2 linked regions of the Macaca fascicularis genome follow. Each later gene encodes a partner of the first gene's protein in a complex. Links are inferred from orthologs where the notes say so. Each region holds a gene or a part of one and is shown in the gene's direction. Other genes may lie near its edges. The genes, in order: RPTOR and EIF4EBP1.

Region 1 (9,233 bases):
GGTGAAGACGCACACTGGGCCACGGCCCTTGGTGCCCAGCAGGGCGGGAGGGGCAAGTGGAGGGTGATGCCAGGGCTCCATTCTGAGCAGTGCGAGACTTGCAGTTCCATGGGCGCAAATCAAGAGGGCGCTGCAGGCTGAATGGAAAGTAGACGGTGCCCACAGTTCACAGGCCAGGGAGAGTTTGGGGTGCAGGTGAAGAGCCGACAGCTGGACAGCCAGCCTGGAGCTAGGAGAGTGAGGGGCCAGCATCAGGGAAACCACAAAGCACGACAGGAGGAAGCCCAGGGCGTGTAAAGCTGGGGTGGGAGAGTGCATGGACAGAGAGCGTGTAGACGGAGAGTGGGCGGCCACGAGAAGACCCTGGTCCCTGGTGGGCGCCCATCCAGAGCCTGCTCATCCTGCTGCTGCGGAGACGGGAGCATCACGCAACAAGCAAGGGGTCCTCTCGCAGCACTTGGCTTTCTGCTAAGAATCCATCTTTTTTCTTTGTAGAAAAAAAAGGCAGAGAAAGTTGTCGTAGGGAAAAAAGCATTCCTTCTGTTTTTTAAACCTACATCCCCCTTCTGTTTCCCAGTGACTTCTAGGATCTCCAGCTGTTCCTGTCACAGCACTGAACCGTCCTAAAACAGAGGCAAATTGTGTCTGTTTCCCTGGACCAAGGCATTTGGGCCTAAAGATGATGTTTTAGTTCCACAACTTTTCCCATTCCCTCTTAGGGACTAGAAACGTCTTCCAGTAAAAGTTTCACGTGTGTTGAAAAGAGCAGGCTTCAGCTTGTCCGCTGCGCTCGGCCCTGGGGTGCTCAGATTCAGAAAGGCCGCCAGCCGTCGGGTGTGATCTAAAGCGGCGTTTTCAGCCGGGGTCCCAGTGGTGACCGTAAGCGAGAGGCTGTGAGGCCTCCTACCTTTCCCCGCCTGGAGTCTATGACTCACCGTGTCCTTATGAGACCCCCATGCGTCGTGCGCAGCTAGCGGTGGTGAGGATCCTGGCAGGCGTTCTGGGCTTCCCCCGTGAGCCGGTGGCCTGCCATCTCCACGGCACTGCTGTTCAAGGCTTCTGGGTTCGAAAAGGGATGGTCCCTTTTTCTGACGCCGACAGCACGCTTTTGTCTTAACCTTTCTTTTCTGTGGGTGACTCACATCTCACTGCTGCCCTCAGTCATCTTCCGGCCCCAGTGAGTGTTATTGTCCCGTCTCCCTCTCGGCAGGAGCTGGTGGTGGCTCTGAGTCATCTCGTGGTTCAGTACGAAAGCAATTTCTGCACTGTGGCCCTGCAGTTCATAGAAGAGGAGAAGAACTACCCCTTGCCTTCTCCAGCGACCACAGGTACGGCGTCTCCTGTGAACCCGCTGAGCACCTGGCCTGGCGGTTCTAGCGCAGGCCTGGCCCAGTCTCAGGACTGCTGGCCACTTGCTGACTCTCGCAGAGTCTAAGCTCGGGTTTCCCAGATCCCTCTGCAAGGGGTCCCTGTGTTTCTCATCTTTTTAGGCACCCGTCAGATTCGAAAGGACAGGAAAGAGGGCCACACTGACCCTCTTACATTTTTCCTTTCTTTTTACCCTTTTTGGAAATTAAACTCACAGAAACCTTGAAGTATGACAAACTTCTGCAATAGGAGCTTTGCAGAAAAGCGCAGGGGCCGCCTTCCTGCCGTGAGTCATTTCATCACACTGCTGTTGGCTCCGTGGCTCGGTGAGTCATGTCGAGTCCTTTCTCACACGTGTCGTTTTGACTGGAGAGTACAGTTCCTATCTCATCGCTGCTGGCAGCCCCTCCCCTACCACACAGCCGTCTCTGCCATGCAGAGGCTTGTCATCAACAGTGAAGCCTCACTGCTTATAGGAAGCCCAGGAAGGGAGAAGGGTGAGCCAGACTGAGTGCGGCCGGCCATTGCTCTGCTGCGGCTTCCCGGGGAACGGCTCATGGCCCACGTCACCACGCACCTTGTGTGCACTTGGACAGGCCGCAGCCACCAGCCTCTCCCCTGTTGTCTTTTGTAATTTAATATCCACAGAGCGACAAGCGGTTGTCGTTTGTCCAGTGCCATCCCGCAGAGCCTCCACTCACGTCTGAGTCTCCCTGAGCTGCGCAGCTCCTGCGTTCACATTCGTTCCAGTATAGGTAGCAGCTGCCGTCACCGAGTGTCCCAGCTGCTGAGTGTCAGAAGACACGCCGGCCTGCACCTGGAAGCCCATCGTAACTTGTCTTTCTCCTTCTTTCCCAGAGGGAGGGAGTCTGACCCCAGTGCGAGACAGCCCGTGCACCCCCAGACTTCGTTCCGTGAGCTCCTATGGAAACATCCGTGCTGTCGCCACAGCCAGGAGCCTCAACAAATCTTTGCAGAACCTGAGCTTGACAGAGGAATGTAAGATCCTGGAAACTGGGTTCTTGGATTGGGAGAGATTGGGGTTGTATTTTCCAAAACTTTTTATCTGAGCAAGAATCACTCTGCCCCTGCCCCTTCTCTAAGTGCATGCCCTGAAGTTGCATCTGGCAACATGGTGATGAGCCAGCTGTCCTCGTCTGGAGTCACCCTTCCAGACGTGAGCATGGCAAGGAGGCGTAGGCCAGTCCCCAGAACAGCCAGCGGGCACGTTACCAGTGCAGAGCTCAATTGCAGTCGCAGGCGAAGCGGCGGCTCCTTGGAGGGCCGTGCCCTGCCCCAGTCTGTGGGTGTGGAGCTTGGTTCCCAGGGAGATCAGTGAGTTCCTGTGCCTATGTGTGCACCAGGGTGTGTGTGTGCCAGTGTGTGTGTACCAGGGTGTGTGTGTGTACCAGGGTGTGTGTGTGCCAGTGTGTGTGTACCAGGGTGTGTGTGTACCAGTGTGTGTGTACCAGGGTGTGTGTGAGCCAGGGTGTGCGCACCGGGGTGTGTGTGCGCCAGGGTGTGTGTACCAGGGTGTGTGTGTGCCAGGGTGTGTGTACCAGGGTATGTGCCAGGGTGTGTGTACCAGGGTGTGTGTGCGCCAGGGTGTGTGTGTGCCAGGGTGTGTGTATGCCAGGGTGTGTGTGTACCACGGTGTGTGTACCAGGGTGTGTGTATGCCAGGGTGTGTGTACCAGGGTGTGTTTACCAGGGTGTGTGCACGGCAGGGTGTGTGTACCAGGGTATAATGTGCGCCAGGGTGTGTGTACCAGGGTGTGTGTATACCAGGGTGTGTGTGCTAGGGTGTGTATGTACCAGGGTGTGTTTGTGCCTGGGTGTGCTGAGCTTTATTTAGAAGAAAATACATATCTCAGTCATGCCATTAACTTTAAGACCAAAAGGAGGGTCCCGGGAGCACCCCACTGACCCCACTGTGTCTCGGGCAGCCGGCGGCGCGGTGGCGTTCTCCCCTGGAAACCTCAGCACCAGCAGCAGTGCCAGCAGTACCCTGGGCAGCCCCGAGAATGAGGAGCACATCCTGTCCTTCGAGACCATCGACAAGATGCGCCGCGCCAGCTCCTACTCCTCCCTCAACTCCCTCATCGGTGAGTCCGAGTGCCCCTTTCTGCTTCCGAGAGGCCCCGAGGGTCTCCTCCCCACACAGAGCAGCACCAACCTGTGTCTGCATAGGGCAGTGGGTGTCGAAGCTATCTGTTCAAAAGAAAGAATAAAAGTCAGCTGGACTGCGAGGACGTGAGGATATTTTGCTGGGGGAAGCGGGAAAGTTGAAATCACTGTTGTGATGGGATGGTATTTTACAGGCCGCTCCGGAGCCATGGGAGCTGGCTAGCTTGGCCGGGTGGGAAGGCTGCCAGAACCTTCCATCTTTCTTCTGTAGATGGATGAGCGTTCTTCATGGGTGCTTGACACCCTGGTGATGCAGAGCAGTGCTTCTCAACCGGGGCTGGGTTTGCCCGCAGGTGCAACTAGGGCACAGTAGGGGTGCTCTTTGCCCTAGTGGGTGAGGCCAGGAAGCTGCTCACATCCTCTAGTGCCCAGATCGGCCCCCACACAGAGTGTCCGCAGTGAGCGGCAGAGGGCCCTGCGGTCGGGACTGGGGGCTGTCATCCCCGCCCTGCCCATCTGCGGAATCTCTACAGAACTTTCCCTCCATTCCAGCAGCTGGACGCAGCACTGCCTGGAAATGGAAATCTGATGGAAGGGTCGGATTCTTCTCTTGTTCTGCCATGAATGGTGTATGCCTGGGTTCTACCACCAGGATTGCTGATGTAAAGCAGGAGAAGCAGGAATTCACTGTGTTTTCTTATTGTGTAGCTGTGTTCATCTTCACACTGCTGGTAACAGATTTAGGGCTTAACCAAACGAGCCTCCTCTCCTCTTGTTCTGACTATCCAGAATGGCTTACCGGCTTCACTTGAGTTTTTTTCATATTAAGGAACATTTTAGCCATGTAAAAATTTACAGAGACTTGCGTGTGTATATGTGTGTGTGTGTGTGTGTGTGTCTGCGTGTTGTATTCCCAGCTTAAGGAATTACAGAGGTCGAGCCCCAGAGCCCACCCCGGTCCCATTCCCTCTGGTGACGTTATCCTTTCCCTTTCTGGCCATGAGCCCTGGCACATACGTGGTACCCACTTAGAGGCTTTTACCTCCTGTTGGCGCCGTCACACAACGCGTGGCCTGCAAAACCCGTTTGGCTCTGACTTCAATCTGTATCTTTGATAGTCATCTAGGTTTTGTTCCTTCACCTCTGCTCTCTGCCGTGACTCCATTATCCATTCTCCTGTCGGGGCACTGTGAGGCTGGTTCTAGTTTCTTCTTCTTTTTTGTTCCTTTTTTTAATTAGCAAACTCAGAATTCAGCCCCTGCCACCATGGAGCCCCACGTCCGACACACCCCTCACTCGCTGCACCCAGCTCTGCTGGGCCCCGGCACTCGCGGCCCCCAGCCTGGGCTTCGGTGGGGAAGCTCTTCTCGGGCATATGGTACCGCTCCCCTCTCATTCAGAGCCCCCATCCGGCAGCACCTTCCGAGAAGCCTCCCCTGAATTTGCCCCGAGCTGTCTGGGCTAGTGTGACGTTGTGAGGGTGGGTTTGAATTCTGTATTCCATTTCTTCAATGCTGATAGGATTATTTACACTCTCTATTTCTTCTTAAGCTAGCTTCAAAAACTTTTATTTTTCTAGGATTTTATTCAATCCAGCTAAGTATTCTCATTCTTTCCCTTGAGGCTGTCTGCAGTATTCTCATGAGTCTCTAATCTCTTTATTGTTCCAGCTGCTCTGTCATTCCCAATCTGCTGTCTCTTTAGATGTGTCCCTTTTTATTCCTATTGTTGTTTATTTGCCTTTTCCTCTTTTTATTGATGAATCCTCTAAGATATTTGTTCATTTCTTTAGTGTCTTCAAGTTCTAACTTAGGCTTTGTGAATTTACTGCATTATTTTATCTTTATTTTTCTATTCCAGTACTTTATTTTGTTTCCTTTCTTCTGTTTTCTCTAGGATCACCCTCTTGTCCTGTTTCAGTTCTCAAGTGCAAAATAAAAATAGCTCATTAACTTTGAGTTTTCCTTCCTTCCTAATGCGTGTGTTCAGGTCTGCGGGACCCCCGCCACTGCCGTCTTCCCCTGGCCCACTCCCCCCGCCGTCTCCCCATCCCGCCCGCTCCCCCGGCCGTCTGGCTCCCCCTGCCGAGCTTTGATGATGGGCTTTTCACTTGCGTTCAGCTTCAAGCTCTCTTTCTACTTCCCTTGTGGTTCCCGGGGACGGCAGTCCGGCCACAATGACAGCAGCACATGGGAGCCTAAAGACCTGAAACAGACACAGGGCATCCGCCAAGGCAGTTCCCACTGGGCAAGCCTGTGGGTGTGCTCCCGGCTTTGGCCAGCTGCTGCCTTGAGCACCTCTGGATAGAATGAGTCCAGAGCTTGCACCATGCCCTCCAGGGTATGGAGAACTGAAAGGTTCACTACACAACAACCCAGACACGCCAGCTTAGCCCAGACAGACCAACTTGTTAATTTTCATTGAGAAATAACGTTGCAGCTTTGGTTGTCTGCTAAAATATGCCAAGCACCCAGAAAGCGCAGAGTTGACACTGTATATTAGAGTATAAATCGAGGTATTGCCAAGTCACCAATGAAATATATTCTAAAATCACTTGTAAGATGTTTGTTTTGAACTGGAATACACTTTTTAAATAGAATTGTTATATATAGTGGTTAGGTTTCCAGGCTAGCCTACAAGTGTCTTTTAAAACCTGTCTGCAGAAATTCTACTTATAAATCTGCAATGTAAAAAGGTATTTTAAATATTTTTTTAAGTACTAGAAAGTGTAAATTCATAGTATTCTGTTTTGATTACACCTTTCCCCTGGCCCCGGCCACAGCTCCTGTGAGTACCTCTCTAGCGCCTCCAGCAGGTTAGTTCATGCTCACCGAGGTCGAGGTGGTAGCTCCCTGCCGTCACGTGTAGGTTAGAGCAGGAGTCTGCAGTCTTCCTATGAAAGAGCTTTGCAGGTGGGACTGCCCCTTGGCACTTCCCCAGCACTGCCATTGTGGTGCAAAAGCAGCCAGAGACCGCGTGTGAGTGAATGAACTTGGCCATGTTGCTACGTAACCATGTGGACTGAAGTTCGAATTTTGCATAACTTCACATCACAAAATATTGTTCCTTTGATTTTTTTTCAACCACCTAAAAAGTGTAAGAACTGGCCGGGCGCGGTGGCTCACGCCTGTAATCCCAGCACTTTGGAAGGCCGAGGCGGGCGGATCACAAGGTCAGCAGATCGAGACCATGGTGAAACCCCGTCTCTACTAAAAATAGAAAAAATTAGCCGGGCGCAGTGGCGGGCGCCTGTAGTCCCAGCTACTCGGGAGGCTGAGGCCGGGGAACGGCGTGAACCCGGGAGGCGGAGCTTGCAGTGAGCCGAGATTGCGCCACTGCACTCCAGCCTGGGCGACAGAGCGAGACTCCGTCTCAAAAAAAAAAAAAAAAAGTGTAAGAACCATACACAGGCCATAGAAGAACAAGGCCGAGTTCAGCTCAGAGAGCCTGAGAGCGGAGCACACCCTGCCCGCACCCCAGCCTGCAGGGACACTCCTCTGAGGACACTCCTGTGAGTCAGACAGAGGGCTTGAGACTCTTCCACATATTGGCCACATATTTTGACCGTGCCCCCACTGTGCACATTGGGGCACAAAAGTGCAGAACAGGCAAACCCAGCGCCACCTGTGTCGAAGCCGGTACCATCGGCTCTGGGCATCTCCTTCCCCTCCCTGCAGGAGCACGTGTCCTCCCTCTGTGGCCGAGGGGACCGGCGTTTACTCAGGTTGACTCCTGGCCAGGAGTCAGAGACTCCTCTTTGTACCCCCACGCATCCTTCTCTTGGCAGGGCATCTGTGGCCAGTCTCCTCCCCGCCTTGCAGCCACCTGAGCCAGCTGCTCTTTGGCCTGGTGGTCGCAGCTCCCTCCCGGGTCTCCCTGCTTCCACTGTGGCTCTCCTGGGGCTGTGTGCTCGCTGTGGCCTTCTTCTTCTTCTTTTTTTTTTTTTTGAGACGGAGTTTTGCCCTTGTCGCCCCGGCTAGAGTTTAATGGCATGATCTCTGTTCACTGCAACCTCCGCCTCCCAGGTTCAAGCGATTCTCCTGCCTCAGCCTCCCAAGTAGCTGGGATTACAGGCACATGCCAACATACCTGGCTAATTTTGTATTTTTAGTAGAGACAAGGTTTCTCCATGTTGGTCAGGCTGGTCTCGAACTTCCAACCTCAGGTGATCCGCCTGCCTCGGCCTCCCAAAGTGCTGGGATTACAGGCATGAGCCACCACACCCGGCTGGCCTTCCTCTTTCACAGGAAGCTACAGCGGCATCACCCCTCGGTGCTCACCTGGTGACCGTCTGCCAAGGGCCTGGTTGCCCCACCGCCCTGCCCAGCCCGTGCTCTATGGCGTTCTCAGTTCACTCTCATCCCTCCGCTCACACGTATCTGGCCATCAAGTAAGAATCAAAATAAAAAGTTGCACCTGGCCTGCAAGCATGCAGAACTGCACCTTTTATTGGTCCAGGGAGCTCAAGCCAGGCGGTATAGCGCTGGGTCACCATGCCACCACTGAGAGCTTCTGTCTGCAGGTCCCCATGCCCACTGCACCTCCCTTTCCCCCTGGGCATTTTGGATACCACGTGGGCATCTCCCCTTCTGCTGGTGAAGGCTGCAGAAAGTTCACAACTGTGGAGTTTCCAGGTGGCTTAACTTGCTGAGGCTGGTGTTTACTGTGCACGGGCCATGCCTGAGGCCCTGGGTGCTGTCCACAGGCGAGAGGGACCGCGGGGACCCCGCCCAGCTCCTGTGTGAAACTTAGCTCTTGTCTGTGATGAGTGAATGCCGCTGTTATCCTCGGTACTAGTCTCGGTGGAGTACAGGGCGAAGAATCAGTGTCATCTGAGGGTCACCCAGACGGAAAGCACACGGCAGCTTGGGGCCAGGACAGGGGCTTGGCCTCCATGAGTCTTCTCCTCTGCCCCTTCTTTCTCTTCTGTCTTCTCGAAGGAGCTGGAGTCCCCATTCCACCATCCTTCTTACACAGTCTGATTCCTGACTTTTTTTTTTTTACTGGAGAAGACTGAGTTTTATTCGTGTGTCATTCAAATCTTAGGAAATTTGACAGGGAAGAGTTTCACAATGAGCTGGAGTTTAGGAAGGAGAGAAACAAAGTCACCCCCGCGAAGCCAGCCTCATTCATATTCAGGAAGGTGTCGCTTACGCTACCTGGAAACCACCGTGCTTACCTAAGCGTTCAGAATTCATCACCTGCACAGAACCCCATTACGCGCAGCACTTCCCTGTTTCCAGCCAATTTCTTTCATTTCAGCCAAAGAACTGCAATCTCTTGAGGCCCTTTCATTGAAGATTGCAGAGGCTTTCAGAACCATGGCAACCTGGAGCGTCCATGTCTCCCCATCTTTCCCGGCCCCCCAGAAGCCCCATCGCTAGCGCCCTCCCCGCTCTGCCTTCCCCAGAGCACTTGCATTGTTGCACCCTCGGTCACGCGTTTCCCGTCTCCTCTGTGGCAGTGAAGCCCCTTGGCTGGTACTTGGCTTCCTTCAATCACTGATGGAGCCCAGGTTCCCGCCCCCAGCAGTGCCTGGCCCCTGGTGGGGCAGGATAAATGTTTGTGAAACTAAATGGGAACCCAGGTCTCAGCACTGTCTCAGGTTCTAGAATCTTGTTTGATGTCTCCATCCTGCTTGTTTCTCACTCAGCCCTTCCTCTGACCTGACATCCACAAGAATCCCCTAAATCAATCCCTCCTGTTTCCAGTGCCCCCATCCCATCAGGCCTCATTGCC
Region 2 (9,333 bases), on another chromosome or scaffold:
TGAGCCACCTGTAATGGCTCACAAGCCATTTTTTGAAACAAGGTCTTGCTATGTTGCCCAGGCTGGTCTCTGAACTTCAGGCCTCAAGCAATCCTCTGGCCTTGTAATCCCAACCACCAAGACCTGATCTATTTTTATTTTTTCTTATTTTATTTATTTTGTTTTTGAGCCCCGGCTGGAGTGCAGTGGTGCAATCTTGGCTCATGGCAACCTCCACCTCTGGGGCTCAGGTCATCTTCCTACCTCATCCTTGAAAGCAGCTGGGACCACAGGTGTGAGCCACAACACTGGGCTAATTTTTAAATTTTTTTGTAGAGACAAGGTTTCACCATGTAGCCCAGGCTGGTCTCAAACTCCTGCGCCCAAGCACTCTGATCACTTCAGCCTCCAAATGTACTGGGATTACAGGTGTGATCCACAGCCTGGACGAAATTAATTTCTTTTTCTTTTTTTTTTTTTTTGAGACGGAGTCTTGCTCTGTCACCCAGGCTGGAGTGCAGTGGCGCCATCTCGGCTCGCTGCAAGCTCCACCTCCCGGGTTCACGCCATTCTCCTGCCTCAGCCTCCCGAGTAGCTGGGACTACAGGCGCCCACCACCACGTCCGGCTAATTTTTTGTATTTTTAGTAGAGACAGGGTTTCACCGTGTTAGCCAGGATGGTCTCGATCTCCTGACCTCGTGATCCACCCGCCTCGGCCTCCCAAAGTGCTGGGATTACAGGCGTGAGCCACCATGCCCGGCCTTCTTTTTTTTTTTTTTTTTTTTGAGACAGCGTCTTACTCTGTCGCCCAGGCAGGAGTGCAGTGGTGGTTCTCGGCTCACTACAACCTCTGCCTCAGCCTCCTGAGTAGCTGGGATTACAGGTGCCGGCCATTATGGCCGGCTTTTTGTTGTTGTTGTTTGTATTTTTAGTAGAGACAGGGTTTCACCATCTTGGCAAGCTGGTCTTGAACTCCTGACCTCATGATCCACCCGCCTAGGCCTCCCAAAGTGCTGGGATTACAGGCGTGAGCCACCGCACCTGGCCGAAATTAATTTTTTTTTTCTTTTTTTTTTTTTTTGAGACGGAGTCTCGCTGTGTCGCCCAGGCTGGAGTGCAGTGGCTGGATCTCAGCTCACTGCAAGCTCTGCCTCCCGGGTTTTTACGCCATTCTCCTGCCTCAGCCTGCCGAGTAGCCGGGACTACAGGCGCCCGCCACCTCGCCCGGCTAGTTTTTTGTATTTTTTAGTAGAGACGGGGTTTCACCGTGTTAGCCAGCATGGTCTCGAACTCCTGACCTCGTGATCCGCCCGTCTCGGCCTCCCAAAGTGCTGGGATTACAGGCTTGAGCCACCGCGCCCGGCCTAATTTTTTTTTTTCTTTTGAGATGGAGTCTTGCTCTGATACCAGGCTGCAGTGCAGTGGTGTGATCTCGGCTCACTGCAACCTCCACCTCCCAGGTTCAAGCGATTCTCCTGCCTCAGCCTCCCGAGTAAGCTGGAACTACAGGCACGCACCACCATGCCCAGCTAATTTTTTTTGTATTTTTAGTAGACACAGGGTTTCACCATGTTGTCCAGGATGGTCTCGATCTCTTGACCTCGTGATCTGCCCACCTCGGCCTCCCAAAGTGTTGGGATTACAGGCGTAAGCCACTGCACCTGGCCCAAAATTAATTTTTTAATGTAATTTTCTGAACCCAATATACTCAAAATATTATCAGTTCAACATACAATCAATATAGAAACAAATTATTCAGGCATTTTACATTATTTTTTTCATGCTAAGTCTTTGAAATATGGTGTGTATGTTAAACTTGTGACAGTTTGGACTGGCCACATTTGGAGTGCTCAATGTGCACCTGTAGCTGGCGGCTACTGTCTTAAGCCACTGTAGGCCTAAAGTTTCCCTCAAAAGTGAGACCAAATTCAACAGGTCTCCCTATCTCAGGCCTTGCCCTCCTTGGCCCATCCTGAAACTCCACTGGCTACTAGTTATCTTTCAAAAAAAACAACTCAAATCATGTCATCCCCCTGCTTAAAAGATCTCTGGGCTGGACGCGGTGACTCACGCCTGTAATCCCAGCACTTTGGGAGGCCGAGGCGGGTGGATCACGAGGTTAGGAGATCGACACCAACACCATCCTGGCTAACACGGTGAAATCCCATCTCTACTAAAAATACAAAAAATTAGCTGGGCGCAGTGGCGGGCGCCTGTAGTCCCAGCTACTCGGGAGGCTGAGGCAGGAGAATGGCGTGAACCCGGGAGGCAGAGCTTGCAGTGAGCCAAGATCGCGCCACTGCACTCCAGCCTTAAAAAAAAAAAAAAAAAAAAAAAATCTCTGATCTCTCCTGCCCTTCTAAGACAAAGTCCAAGCACTTTGGCATGATTTGAAAAACTCAATGACCTGACCCCAATTTCCTTTTTAAAAAATTATTATATATTTTTTAGAGATAGGGTCTCTGTCACTAAGGGTGGAGTGCAGTGGTGTGATCACACTCACTGGAGCCTCAAACTCCTGAGCTCAAGCATCCTCCAGCTCAGCTTCCTGAGTAGTGGGGATTACAGGTGCACCACCCAATTTCCCTTTTAAACTTTCTTCACCCTCTTCCCCACAACATGTGCCCACAATGCTAAGAACTTCTCAAACCCAACAAGCTTTTCCATCCTCGGTCCTTCTTGCATTTTTCTCTCTCCCCTTGAACATCCCTCCATCCACCATCCAAGGAGTACCTACTAAATCTCAGGCAGTGGGGTGGGCGTTGGACCCAATTCAGGAGTTATCGGGAAACCTCTTTGACAAACTCTTACCCCTCTCCTACGCCCTTCCCTCTCCCCCTACCCCCGCGCCCTAGCTCTAAATTTAACTCCCAGGACGCCGCTGGTTGGTTCACTCCTCCTCCCACACCCTGTCTAAAGGCCGGGAACAGAATTGTTAGCCCCACCATCCCCACCCCCATCAAGGTCAAGAAATTGAGGCGGGGGAGGGGGTGAGCATGACCACTCAATCCCCACTTTCTCATCTGAGGAACTAAGGCACGAAACAGGGAGTGCCGGAGGGTACACCGGGCCTGATGTACTAAGGCAGAAACCGGGCCTTCCTGCAGTGGGCCGGGTCAGCTCGGATCTCCGCGCGGTCCTGAGTCGCCGCCCCCAACCCAGCCAAGGATTAATTTAGGCGAGCTATCCCGCCCACCACCCCCACCCCCATCCCTGCCAACGTGGCGGGGAGGGACACAGGACAGAGGGGCAGTCGCTGCGGGGCGGCGCCGGCGCCCGTGCGGAAGAGCCCGTGAGCAGGCGTGAGTGGGTCGGGGGGCTGCGGGGGATCCCACGTGGAAGCAACGTCCTGGAGCTGGGTGGGGCTGCGGCGCGGACTACAAATCCCAGGGGCGTGGGCGGGAGAGGCGGAAGGGGCGTCCTGGGGCGGGGCGGGACGGGGCGAGGCTGAGCGGGACCCGGCTAGGCGGAGCGAGGCTGGAGGCGCGGGAGGGCAGCGAGAGGTTCGCTGGTGCAGCGCACAGGAGACCATGTCCGGGGGCAGCAGCTGCAGCCAAACCCCAAGTCGGGCCATCCCCGCCACTCGCCGGGTGGTGCTCGGCGACGGCGTGCAGCTCCCGCCCGGGGACTACAGCACGACCCCCGGCGGCACACTCTTCAGCACCACCCCGGGAGGTAGGCGCGGGCTTGGGGACGCAGCTGGCCGGCTCCTGGGCGGGCGGGAGGATCGGGAATCGCGGATTGGACCGGGTGTCCAGGCTCAAGGGCGCTGTGACTGGAAAGAACGGAGAAGGGGCATCGGGGAGATAGCAAGGGTCATGGAAGTGGCCGCCCGTCTGCCCTCTTGAGTGCGTCGTCCAGACCCAGGTTGCAAACTGCCCCGTTCGTTTCCTCTTTCTGTTAGGTGTCAGACAGCTGACACCTAACAAACACGCACTCTTCCAGGACTGCCACATGCCGAGCTGTGCTGCCCCTTGTGGGTGTTGGGGGCGCTCCCGAGGCAGGATAGGGCGGAGTCAGGGTGGCCCACGATCCAGGAGAGGCCTGGCCTGGTGTTTTTATGGGATGGGTATTATCTGTTGGGATAAATGATTCCTGCAGGGCCCTTTTTCCTTTCCGAAGCACCCCTAGTTTTGCGTTGGACACGCGCGCTCTGACGGAGGTTTGGATGTGGGGGTGCTCTCCTGCTCCAGCAGAGCCTCCCGGGCACCTGTGGCACGTTCCCCATTTTCGCGAGTGGGATCTCCGCGGGGGGGCCGGGCGCCACGGGCAGGGCTGTGCAGAAAAACACGTTCTTCTGTCCGGGGAGAGGAGGAGGCACCGTGTGACCTCCCTGGGAGAGGATGAGGAAGAGGAAGCTGAGCTGGCACGGGTGCGGGGGTGGGGGGGCAGCCTCAGGCTGCCCTCAGGAGCCTGGCATTCCCTCCCAGCCCCGCAACCCCAGCGCACAGACGCTGATGAAACCTACGCGCCTGTTTGCATGATGAAACAAATCCTCGTGGCTCTCCACTCCCCTCCCATCCTCGTACTGCCCCCACCCCTTTGACTTCTCTCCCTTCAATCTCCTCCACGCTGCTTTCCAAACTACTCGAAAACGCGACAGATCCTGGCGCTTCACTCGGTGGCGGGCAGGGGCCACATGCTTATTTTCTCAGGCAGCTGTCCTACCAGCAGCATGCACGGCCGGATCCGAGGTCCTCAGCTATTTGATCCAAAACATACACTGTTAGAACGGTTAGGGATCTTGTCCAGCCCTGCCGCCTTATTCTACAGAGCCGGGCATTGAGGCCCCAGAGCTTGAACACGTGTCTATTGCCCATTGTCACACCGTTTTCCCAGATTGGACAAGAAATAGCAACCAGGCAGAGAAGGGAGGAATGCTTCGTTTTCTATTAGAAATGAGCCAAGGAAAAGCTCGCAGGGGCTCTTATTGCCACTCCCGACTCATCCTCTTTCCCTTGCTGGGTCTTTTGTAGTTCATGCTGTTCTCCTTTGTCCCTGTCACAATGGTCTACCAGGACAATTCCTGACAATTTTGGACTTCTTTCAACTGAGGGTGTAAGTGTCTGCTGGATTTGTTCAGGGTGGGCCCTGAGGCTGGCCTGAAGGCACAGGTAGCCCTTTTTTGCGCCTTTTATTGCTGGATTGTTGGGTCAAATTGGAAGCCACAGATACTGTTTATAGGCACTTCTGGCACGGGTACCAAGGTTCACACCTGTAATCTCAGCATTTTGGGGAGTCGAGGCAGGAGAATTGCTTGAGGCCAGGAGTTCAAGACCAGCCTGGGCAACATAGTGAGACTCCATCTCTACAAAAAAAAAAAAAAAAGATGTCCTAGCTATTACAGAGGCTGCGGCCAGAGGGTCGCTTGAGCCCAGGAGTTGGAGGCTGTAGTGAGCTATGATTGACCACTGCATTCCAGCCTGGGTGACAGAGCGAGACCCTGTCTCTAAAATAAATAATAAACATAAAATATATGAACTTTGAATCCACTTTTCACTTTGGGTTGGGAAGTGGGGAGTAGGCAGGGGGCTGACAGACCACAGCAAATCCCCCTCCTTTTGAAGGTCTTTTTTTTTTTTTTTTTTTTTTTTTTTTTTTTTTTTTTTTTTGAGACGGAGTCTCGCTCTGTCACCCAGGCTGGAGTGCAGTGGCCGGATCTCAGCTCACTGCAAGCTCCGCCTCCCGGGTTCACGCCATTCTCCTGCCTCAGCCTCCCGAGTAGCTGGGACTACAGGCGCCTGCCACCTCGCCCGGCTAAGTTTTTGTATTTTTAGTAGAGACGGGGTTTCACTGTGTTACCCAGGATGGTCTCGATCTCCTGACCTCGTGATCCGCCCGTCTCGGCCTCCCAAAGTGCTGGGATTACAGGCTTGAGCCACCGCGCCCGGCCGAAGGTCTTTAACAGTAGGGGGAGTGGGGAAGGGGCTTCTGCATCAGGGCATAGCATGTTTCTGAGATCACTGGAAGAAGCTAGCAGTGCCAGGAGCCTAAAGCCAGCTCACTCTTTGGGTCATCCAGGTACAGCTCACAGTCCCTAAGCCAGGGAAACCCGGCTTACTTCCACTAAAGTCAAGCAAGCCTGGTCGGCCTCGATTAGCCAAGGTGTGAACTCTTCCTCCAAAGCCCACCTCAGCCCACCTCTGCTAGGGCAGAGAAGCTGAAATGGTCACATCGCAGGACCCTTTTGCTCCAGAGCAGAATACTGCGTCTCAACCTTCCAGGTGCTTGAGGATAACTGGGGGCTTCATTTAAGTGCATATTCTGATTCTGTAGGTGGGGGTGGGGACTAGATTCAGCATTTCTTTCTTTTTTCTTTCTTTCTTTTTTTTTTTTTTTTTTTGAGAAGGGTCTCACTCTGTCACCTGGGCTGGAGTGCAATGGCATGATCTCAGCTCACAGCAACCTCCACCTCCCGGGGTCAAGCGATCCTCCCACCTCAGCCTCCCCAATAGCTGGGACAACAGGCACACGCCACTCATGCCCAGCTAATTTTTGTATTTTTTGGCAGAGACGGGGATTTCACCGTGTTGGCCAGGCTGGTCTCAAACTCCTGACCTCAAGTGATCTGCCTGCCTCGGCCTTCCAGAGTGCTGGGATTACAGGCATGAGTCACCATGCCCAGCCTAGATTCATCATTTCTAACTAGCTCTCAGTGATTGGTGCATATACCACACTCTGAGTACTCAGGAATTAGTGGAACGTAACTTCCCTCACCTTTCAGATCTCTGGAGTCTGGCGGAAAAAAAAAAAAAAATGATGACTCCATCCAGGTAAACCTTGAGGTTGGGCTCAGCATCTGTCTCTAAATCATGGTGTGGAGAGTCAGGCTTTTGATAGAGTGTCTGTATGGCTGTCTGCACCTGCTTACTTATAGGGACTGTCAGCTTCTCAGGAAAAACCACTGGAGTAAGTGCCCACCAGTCACTCCTGCTGGGAATGGCCATCAAGTGATCGTCCCTGGAGGGAAAGAAGCAGAGTTGGGTTGCGCTATCTCCGTTCCTGTGACTGCAGTTTGCTTTCCTTTTTTTTTTTTTTTTTTTTTCCTGAGACAGGGTCTCACTGTGTCACCCAGGCTGGAGTACAGTAACATGAACATAGCTCACTGCAGTCTCAAACTCCTGGGCTCAAGTGATCCTCCTGCCTCAGCCTTGCAAGTAGCTGGGACTATAGGCACGTGCCCCCATACCCTGCTAAGTTTTTGATTTTTTTGTAGAGGCAGGGTCTCTCTGTATTGCCCAGGCTGGCCTCAGACTCCTGGGTTCAAGCAATCCTCCCACCTCAGCCTCCCAAACTGCTGGGATTATAGGCATGAGTCACCTCACCCGGCCTCCAGTTTGCTTTCCATGGTCATTAACCATTTGTACACTGAGGCTCTGCTGAGGTTAGCTGTCCGGAGTACTTAAGAGAATTTTGCTGAAGGGAGTGTCATGTATGAATATTTGAGTCTTTGGAGTCTTAGAAATATCCAGCAACACCATAAACAACCCATTAGCCAGCAGAACCTTTGAGTGGATCAGAAAGAAACTTTCCCTTATCGATCTCCACATTCCCAGCTCCGTGTTGCATGTTTGACTCTGAAGCCTACATACAGGCTTGGGTGGCAGTTATGCCAAAGACTCGTACCTGGATAAGGTGAATCCGAGGTGAGCAGGTAGAGCTGCAGGTGTTAATGGCACCCTGTTTGGTTAAGCAAACAAGGTCTGTGCCTGGGAAGCTTACCTTGGAGCAGCTCCCAAGTCTTTGGACATGAAAGAGGCGGTGCTGGGAAGAGGGGGGACGTAGGCTAGGCATCGAAGCCAGAGCACAGCCCATGTCCTGAGGCCTTAGTCACATAGAGGGAAGAAGTTATTATTAAGGATGGGTTAAAAGAGCTTGGACATTAATGCAGTGAGGGAGAAACAATGGACCCTCTTCTCACATTTACCTGAGCTTCCTTTTAAAGTGTTTGAAGGAGCCAGGTGCAGTGGCTCGCACCTGTAATCCCAGCTACTAGGAAGGCTGAAGCAGGAAAATTACTCAAGGCCAGGAGTTCAAGACCAGCCTGAGCAACATAATGAGACTGTAGGTATAAATTAAATAAATAAAATTTTTAAAGTGTTGGAAGCATTCCACACTGTGTCCCTTATTAAAGATTTGGTGGGGGGGGGTTCCTGATGTAGAGCACCCCGGACTCCTTCCAATCCCCAGACTCCTTTTTATTGTTGTTGTTGTTATTATTATTATTATTTTGAAATAGAGGTTCGCTCTTATTACCCAGGCTGGAGCGTAGGTTGCAGTGGTGCGATCTTGGCTCACTGCAACCTGCGCCTCCTGGGTTCAAGCGATTCTCCTGCCTCAGCCTCCCAAGTAGCTGGGATTACAGGCATTTGCCACCACACATGGCTAATTTTTGTATTTTTTTTTTTTTTTTGAGGCGGAGTCTCACTCTGTCGCCCAGGCTGGAGTGCAGTGGCGCGATCTCGGCTCACTGCAAGCTCCGCCTCCCAGGTTCCCGTCATTCTCCTGCCTCAGCCTCCCGAGTAGCTGGGACTACAGGCGCCGCCACCACGCCCGGCTAATTTTTTTGTATTTTTAGTAGAGACGGGGTTTCATTGTGTTAGCCAGGATGGTCTCGATCTCCTGACCTCGTGATCCGCCCGTCTCGGCCTCCCAAAGTGCTGGGATTACAGGCTTGAGCCACCGCGCCCGGCCAATTTTTGTATTTTTATTAGAGACAGGGTTTCATCTTGTTAGTCAGGCTGGTCTCAAACTCCTGACCTCAGGTGATCCACCCGCCTCGGCCTCCCAAAGTGCTAGAATTATAGGCATGAGCCACCACACTCAGCCTTATTATTATTATTATTTTTAATTTTAATTTTATTTTTGAGGCAGTCTCATTCTGTCATCCAGGCTAGAGTGCAGTGGCGTGATCTCAGCTCACTGCAACCTGTGCCTGCCAGGTTCAGGCTGATTCTCCTGCCTCAGTCTCCCTGGTAGCTGGGATGACAGGCACATGCCACCATGCCCAGCTAATTATTTATTTATTTATTTATTATTTGTTTGTTCCTTGAGATGGAGTCTTGCTCTGTCGCCCAGGCTGGAGTGCAATGATGCGATCTTGGCTCACTGCAACTTCCGCTTCCTGGGTTCAAGCAATTCTCCTGCCTCAGCCTCCCAACTATCTGGGTTTACAGGTGTGCTACCACACCTGGCTAATTTTTTGCATTTTTAGTAGAACCGGGGTTTCACCACGTTGGCCAGGCTGGTCTCGAACTCCTGACCTCGTGATCCACCCGCCTCGGCCTCCCAAAGTGCTGAGATTATTTTATTTTATTTTTGAGGCAGAGTCTCATTCTGTCACCAGGCTGGAG

What was found.
Region 2: the proteins of RPTOR (region 1) and EIF4EBP1 are in contact, whole or in part, in a cryo-EM structure (PDB 6BCX), measured with the Homo sapiens proteins. The link is inferred for Macaca fascicularis from reciprocal best matches to the Homo sapiens genes RPTOR and EIF4EBP1. Residues at the interface, in NP_065812.1 of Homo sapiens: Arg54, Arg305, Thr317, Asp321, Phe337, Arg338, Leu341, Ala344, Arg348, Leu437, Gln438, Leu440, Leu441, Ser442, Gln443, Arg446, Tyr475, Lys478, Leu479, Gln481; in NP_004086.1 of Homo sapiens: Glu111, Ser112, Gln113, Phe114, Glu115, Met116, Asp117, Ile118.

Annotation. Positions count from the first base shown.
Region 1 is NC_088390.1:87,310,587-87,319,819, forward strand, and holds part of RPTOR (regulatory-associated protein of mTOR), read left to right. Parts: intron 1-1,210; coding exon 1,211-1,328; intron 1,329-2,226; coding exon 2,227-2,367; intron 2,368-3,313; coding exon 3,314-3,472; intron 3,473-4,046; coding exon of another isoform or gene 4,047-4,306; exon of another isoform or gene 4,307-5,442; intron 5,443-9,233. UniProt on the Homo sapiens protein: Component of the mechanistic target of rapamycin complex 1 (mTORC1), an evolutionarily conserved central nutrient sensor that stimulates anabolic reactions and macromolecule biosynthesis to promote cellular biomass generation and growth.
Region 2 is NC_088382.1:41,418,657-41,427,989, forward strand, and holds the start of EIF4EBP1 (eukaryotic translation initiation factor 4E-binding protein 1), read left to right. Parts: upstream 1-3,448; 5' UTR 3,449-3,510; coding exon 3,511-3,655; intron 3,656-9,333. UniProt on the Homo sapiens protein: Repressor of translation initiation that regulates EIF4E activity by preventing its assembly into the eIF4F complex: hypophosphorylated form competes with EIF4G1/EIF4G3 and strongly binds to EIF4E, leading to repress translation.